Linked DNA regions of Coturnix japonica. Each later gene encodes a partner of the first gene's protein in a complex. Links are inferred from orthologs where the notes say so. Each region holds a gene or a part of one and is shown in the gene's direction. Other genes may lie near its edges.

What was found.
Region 2: IMMT (region 1) and MICOS13 share a complex: the UniProt entries of both Homo sapiens proteins name them as parts of the mitochondrial contact site and cristae organizing system (MICOS) complex. The link is inferred for Coturnix japonica from reciprocal best matches to the Homo sapiens genes IMMT and MICOS13.

Annotation. Positions count from the first base shown.
Region 1 is NC_029519.1:77,504,735-77,508,381, reverse strand, and holds part of IMMT (MICOS complex subunit MIC60), read left to right. Parts: coding exon 1-45; intron 46-204; coding exon 205-341; intron 342-685; coding exon 686-789; intron 790-1,140; coding exon 1,141-1,276; intron 1,277-2,319; coding exon 2,320-2,449; intron 2,450-3,647. UniProt on the Homo sapiens protein: Component of the MICOS complex, a large protein complex of the mitochondrial inner membrane that plays crucial roles in the maintenance of crista junctions, inner membrane architecture, and formation of contact sites to the outer membrane.
Region 2 is NC_029543.1:715,095-718,218, forward strand, and holds MICOS13 (MICOS complex subunit MIC13), read left to right. Parts: upstream 1-1,547; 5' UTR 1,548-1,625; coding exon 1,626-1,654; intron 1,655-1,738; coding exon 1,739-1,895; intron 1,896-2,220; coding exon 2,221-2,272; intron 2,273-2,425; coding exon 2,426-2,523; 3' UTR 2,524-2,623; downstream 2,624-3,124. Other genes in the region: HSD11B1L (hydroxysteroid 11-beta-dehydrogenase 1-like protein), read right to left, coding at 246-337, 420-531, 790-920, 1,116-1,203; scaffold attachment factor B1-like, read right to left, coding at 2,945-3,074. UniProt on the Homo sapiens protein: Component of the MICOS complex, a large protein complex of the mitochondrial inner membrane that plays crucial roles in the maintenance of crista junctions, inner membrane architecture, and formation of contact sites to the outer membrane.

The DNA of each region.
Region 1 (3,647 bases):
CTCGTCTTGCCCAGCAGGACAAAGAGGAGCAAGAGAAGATCGCAGGTGAGCCCATACCTGGAGTTCTGCTACACATGCTGTAAGGGACAAAAGGATTGTTCCCAACCTCTTGTGAGCCACAGAAAATAACGTAAGGAGACACTTGAGATATAATGAATCACTTCAATGATGAGGCTGCAGTTAATTCCAGTATTTTCTTTCCAGCCCTTGCAGCAACACTGGAAGGAGCCCTGAGCTCTACGGCTCGTGTAACACTGCAGGCAATTACTGCACAGGAATCTGCTGTGCAAGCAGTGAATGCGCACTTGCAAATACTGAAGGAGGCAATGGACAACTCGGAGGTAAATTGGGCAGCTGGGGACTTGTGTTCATCGTGTAACTAAGGATAAAGTCTGAGGTTTAATGTTTGTCACAGTTTTACCTGATCTTCCCACTTGGGAAACGTTGTAGGGTTTAATAATAAAGTGCTTCTGCTTTTGACATGTCCCACTTTGTGTAGGACTGCTGCTTTCTGTTGCAGAGGGTATAATGGAGTGGTCAATCACAATGTCAAGGTTCAAAACCACAACAAAAACGATAGAAAGAAGAAATTCTTAAGAGCTTCCAGCTGTGTTGTTATTATCTGATGGGTAATTTTGTACCGTGGGCATTGTGATAACACTAATGATCGATCTGTGCTTGTCAGACTGCTGGGGAGAAGAAATCAGCTCAGTGGCGCACTCTGGAGGAGGCTCTGAAAGATCGAAGGAGGGCAGTGGATGAAGCTGCTGATGTCCTTCTGAAAGCCAAGTGAGTTCTTTGTATCTCCTACCCATACTTAAATACAGTGCTCCTTAGTTCAAGTAAGACTGAAGAAAACAATAACCCATAATCCTTCTAATATCATTTTGGATCATTTGATCATTATTATGCCTATTGTAAGAATTCAATTTGCTGCACTCTGGGTCTGTTGAGTCAATAACATCGTTGGCTTCTCCTAGCTGTGATGTAAAATTAAGTCTTACAGCACTGTTTGTTGGTTCCATTCTTCAGCAGAGCCACTCCTAAGGCTGGCTATTTATTAGATGTGTGCTCATGCATGTATGTGGTTATGCAGTAAGACCTGTATGTGTTATAATCAACAGCTTCATTTCTTTTCAGAGAAGAGTTGGAGAAGACAAAAGGTGTAATTGAGAATGCCAAGAAGGCTCAGATCCCAGGAGCCAAACCTCACATCATTGCTGCAGAGGAAAATCTTCATCATATGATAGTTGACTTGGACAATGTAGTGAAGAAGGTAACACTTCCAGCTGTTCTTCATCATCATTAGAACAAGGACTGATTGGCAGCTTGTGAGACCCCCTTTTTCCACGTCCTTTATAGCAGATCAAGTATTTCTTAGTTTAAATGCTATTTCTAAACACAATTTTCAGCTATAGTCAGTCTTTGAGCTGTGTGTGGTACCAGTGAGTTGTCTTGACAAGGACTTTGCATGAAAAGCCTGAACTCTGTCTTGGAACTCTGCAGCCAGTTTGTTCAGTGTCTGCTCTTTCCTTGGGCAGCTTTCATTTCCTTCTTTCTGATGCTGGACTTGCAGTTCCTTCTGTCTGATGCTGGACTTGCAGTTCCTTCTGTCTGATGCTGGAGTGGAATTAGGAAGATGAGACAAACTATTCAGGGTGCTGATTGGCGTAGTGTCCTCTCACTGAGTGTATCCAGTTGTTCTGGTGGTGGCTCTTGTGCAGGGCATGGGAGACATAGGGTTGGATTGCTGAGATTACTTTTTAACCTTGAAACTTGTTTCTTTGGATCTGGGGCACACCTATAATATTCATCAGGTTGGGGAGGAGTCTGCTGATGACTTTGTGGGTATATCACTTTATGGCTCAGAAAACAGGATGAAAAGTAAAGTTGAAATCATGCCCTTTTGCAGGATAATGGATTGCTCTGATGGAGGAATTTCAGTGGGGAATTTCTCTGAAGTGTGGGAGTACAGAACGCAGTGAGGGTTGGGCAGCTCCCTGCTGGGGCTGTGATGGCTGCATGCTGCTCTGATGGTAGAAAACATTCTGTAATGAAGGTGTAGAGCTGGATATCTCTAAAGGAACATATTGTGTTGGTTTTTTCTGAGCTACAGATTGACTACAGTATTACAGTGTGCGTGTGAAGAAGTGGATCTGTGTAGTTGGGGTAAATAATTACTGTGTATAAGAGGCTTGATGTCACAGGGCAGCTTTTCCCCAAGTGAGGATAAAGATCTCTGCCACTAACTCAGGTTTGATCTCAGATGACTTCAGTCTCCTTGGAAGATAAGCCAGTCTCCTTTTTTGTTTGTTACAGGTTCAGGCAGCACAGTCTGAGGCCAAGATCGTGGCTCAGTATCATGAACTTGTGGCTACGGCAAGAGAGGAGTTTCAGCGAGAACTCGAGAGCATCACCCCCGATGTGCAGCCGGGCTGGAAGGGGCTCAGTAAGTCTGCGGCGATGGCAGTCAATCGTAGAGCAGTTCATAGAGCAGCTGTAACAATGCCTGCTTTCAGGATTCCCTGATTCTGAGCTCCCTGATTCTTTCTAGATAACTGAAAGAGTGAATTCACTGCTCTTTAAATACTTCACTTATCCCAGTGTGTTAGTTCTAAAGGAGAGTGACACAGGAGTTGATCTGGAGTAACAGCCAGTGCTGCACAGAAGCAGTAAATGGCTGCGTGGTGTTTTCCAGCTGCTACAGTTCTTTGCCTGAGGTCTGACATCTGGCACACTCATGTTTTTGAGGTGCTTGGGTTTTTCAGCTGGAGCTCCTTCCTGCTTTCCTTAGAACAGATAAAAGTGAAGTGAGAAATGTGATTCAGAAGTACAGTTAGAATCTTTCTGCCTCAGTAGAGGGATAAATGTATTACTCAGAGTTGTTGGAAGGTTCAGATACCACCACAGTGTGATTGCAGGCAGGCAGGGAAGGAGTCAGGCTTGCAGTTAAATTCTTATGGCTAAAGCAAGTCAGCTCATCCTCTGTGATCCTCTTTCTTAATGGTACTTAATGCTCTAGAAATGTGAATGTTAGTCCACAAACTCATTTTCAAAGCTAAATGAAAACACCAGGCCTGTGTAACACATGGGGTTTTTGTTCTGTAAGAAGTTGGGAGAACTTACTAGGTTGAGAAACTGCAGTTTGCTGTGCTGTCTCTCTTATGTTCAATCTTCTGGGATATTAGTTCTGAAGAAAATGGGATTTGGCATCTGGAGATGGAGCTACCATTTCTAATGCAGGATAAGGGGAGGACATCCTGAGTATTGTGAGCACTGCACTGTTCTGAGAGAGGGAACATCCCGGCAGCTTCCAGGCGTTCAGTTTCACACCAGTGTGACCCTACTTAGTGTACAGGACTGACTCGATAGTGACTCTCACTGCTACCTGGGAATTTGTCTCTTACCCAACTGCTCGTTTGTAAGGACCTGGAAATTCTCAGTGTCCTGTTGCACTTCTTTACTTGTATTTCTCGCTTTGACTGAACCTAAAGGTTCATCTGTGGGTTTCCAAAGGCAGCTGTAGTGGTGGGGATGTTTGGGTTACATCTTGCTTGTAACAAGGAGGGATCTCCGGAGTCTGTTCTTGAACTCCTGCAGCCTTGGATCACTCTAGACCAGAAGCTTTTAGTTGTCCATTGTACTAT
Region 2 (3,124 bases), on another chromosome or scaffold:
TTCAGTGAGAGCTGAAAGAAACAGAGCAGAGCTGAGAGGGAGAGTGGGGTGAGAATGGGAACGACAGGAGGAAAGGAAGGTTAAGTCAGCACAACACTGAGGTGAGTAGGGGAGGCTCCAAAGTATCAGCCTAGAAACACACACACGGTTGCCCTCGGCTGCAGGCAGAGCTCTGAATCTGCCTTCGAGCCCCTCCAGGTTGTCCCAGGAGCAGCAGAATCACAAGAACTGCTGGGAATCCTCACCTGCATGAGCCAGCGGCTGTGCTCCACATCCCCGCCCCACATCTCAAACGGGGAAGTGCCGATATGGTTCAGCACGAGGTAGTCCAGCCCTCCTGCGGGCACAGACAGCAGTCAGTAAATACAGGGGTAAATACAGCAGATATTTGGCTGTGCTGCCATTCTTGTCCCGCTTACCCAGTTTTTGGACAGCGAACTGAACCACCCTGTCGGGCTCTGAAGGTGAAGACATGTCAGCTGGGAGGTAGAAGACTTTCTTTGCTCCGAGGGTCAGACATTTCTCCATCACCTGCGAAAACAGCGCTGTGCCAATGGCTCAATGTGAGGTGGGGGGGAGGAGCAGCGATAAGGAGCAACATCGGGCTGCGGTGCTGCCCCCTGGTGGGAGAAACACGCGCTGCAACAGCGCTGCTGGGCGACAGCAACGGGGGAACCCAGCACAGGGGAACCCACATGGGGTCAGTGCAGGGGATGGCAGCACAAAACAGCCACAAAAGCCCGAAGCCCAAAGCCCGAGTCCCCGCCGTTCTGTTCCCTCCTCCCTCACCTCCCGCAGCGCCGCCTCCCTCCTGGCGGTCAGCACCATCTGAGCCCCATAGGCCGCATAGCGATAAGCCAACTGCTCCCCGATCCCGGCGCTGGCTCCGGTCAGAAGCACGCGGGCACCGGAAAGGAGCTCTGAGAACGGGACACACGGACACAGATACAGACACACAGACGGACACACGGACACAAGTGTGCGGGGAAACGGGGCACGAAGCGGCGGGTGGGGGCGGATGGAGCCGCTGCTGCAGCCGGGGCCGGTTGTGGCCGCGCTCACAGCGGGGGCTGCGTGTGACTGAGCGGCCGTTACCGAGTGTCGGACCGTGATACCTGCGTGGAACGGGTCGTCCCTGCAGCGCAAACACAGCAGCGCAGCCAGGAGCCCCGCGGCACAAAACAGCTTCGTGATGGGAACCATCGTGTGCGGGACGGGACGGGGCGGGACGGGAACGAGCTGCGGGAACGGAACGGAACGGGATCAGTGATGGGGGACGGGGGGAGTCCGAGCGGAACGGGGCGGGATGGAGGCGATAGAACGGGCTGCCCCCCCACAACGGGAAGGTGTCGGACCGGGTCAGGCCTCATCACCCCGTTATCTCGCTCATCTCCCATCATGTCGCCGCTCACAGCGCCACGTTCAGCGGGTGCGGCCCCCACTCCCCGCCCTGCGGCCCCCAGCCCCCTCACTGCCCGCCCCGACCCCTCACCCCAAGATGGCGGCGGCCGCAGCTTCCTACGTGCGCTCGTTGCCGTGGTAACGGTTGAGAAGGAAGTGGTTCTCCACTCTTCCGGTCACGTGAGGCTCCCGGCGGCCCTCGCGGCGCTGCCCTTGGTGCCGTCATGGCCGCCCGCATCGCGCCGCTCATCCGGTCAGTGACCGCGGTCAGACCCGGGATGGGAGGGACGTAACGGCGGGACCGAACCGAACCGAGTCACTGCTTTGGTCCCTGCAGGTTCGCCATCAAGGGAGGCCTGGCCGGAGCCGCCGTGTACGTGTCGTACGATCAGGGGCTGCTGGGCAGCGGGACCGAGGGGGCAGAGGCCTTAAAACGGGCCCGGGAAGCGCTACCGGCTGCGGTGAGAGAATGGAGCGGACACGTGGGATGGGAGGTGAGAGGGAGATAAGGGAGATAAGGGGAGATAAGGGGGGAGATAAGGGGGGGATAAGGAGCAGCATCGGGTCTGTTTGGACCCACAGTGACAGGGAGACCCTGAAGGAACCAGCAGCTTTTCCATATCGGATCCTATTATAAGCTGTCACGTATTTCCCCTCTGCTTTTACTGCAGCTCAGAGCCCAGAGCTCACTGATGCCCATTGACTCTCATTGATTCTCATTGATGCTCATTGATGTAGCACCAAACCCCTTTGGGCTCCGTGATCCCCCTGCCCCCCATTGCTGCCCTTCTTTCTTTCTTTCTTTCTTTCTCTCTGCAGCTCCCACCCGTTCCAACCTTGGATTTCTCCCCCTCGGATTCCTGGAATAAAGGTAAAATCCCATTTCATTATTTGTGGGAAGGGGCCAGTGCTGCAGCTTGTCATAGAACCACACACTGGCCGGGGTTGGGGTTGGTGCCACAAATCAACCTGCCATGTGCCTCCATTGCTGCTGTGCTGTGCTGACTGTCCATGTCCCTTACAGGGGTGCACACGCTGATGTCTGCCCTGTCGGTGGCTCCCAGCAGAGCGTGTGAATACACGGCTCAGGGCTGGAACTACCTCAAGGATCTCGTCAAGTGAGCTGAGCACATCCTCTGTCCCGCTCTCATTCTGTCCGTCCCGTGCTGCTCCCACAGCTCAGCCACAAGGGCTGCAATAAAAGACTTTGAAGTTCTGGTTTCATTGGGGTTGGTTTTGACAAATAGCCCCCATTGCTCCATGCCTTCATAGCAGTAGGTGCCTCAGAGACGACTGCAGCCGTGAACTGTAAACTGTTTTTTTTTTTATTTATGGAAAATGGAATGCTTCATTAACAAACAGTTTTAAATGAGGATATGAACAACACGTTACAAAACAAATGAGTTCACATTGGATCGAGTGACGTCGTATGGCAGCAGCTTAAAAAAGAAATTCCACTTACAGTGACCCACGAGCTCCAAGGGCCGGACACCCCAGGGACAAACCAACTGCAGTTGCCACGTAGCGTTAGAAATTAAAACATTCAGTAGCGACGGTTGAAGCGAGGGTCGTTGGGTCGGCTCGCTCGCTCCTGGCCGGCAAATCCCTCCCCTTGCATCCCCCCTCCGTGCATCAGCTGACTTTGGTTCCCTCCTTGCATGAACCCTCCTCGCCTGCAAAGTGGGGCAGATGGTTTGGGGTTGGTTCTCTCCAATGAAGCACA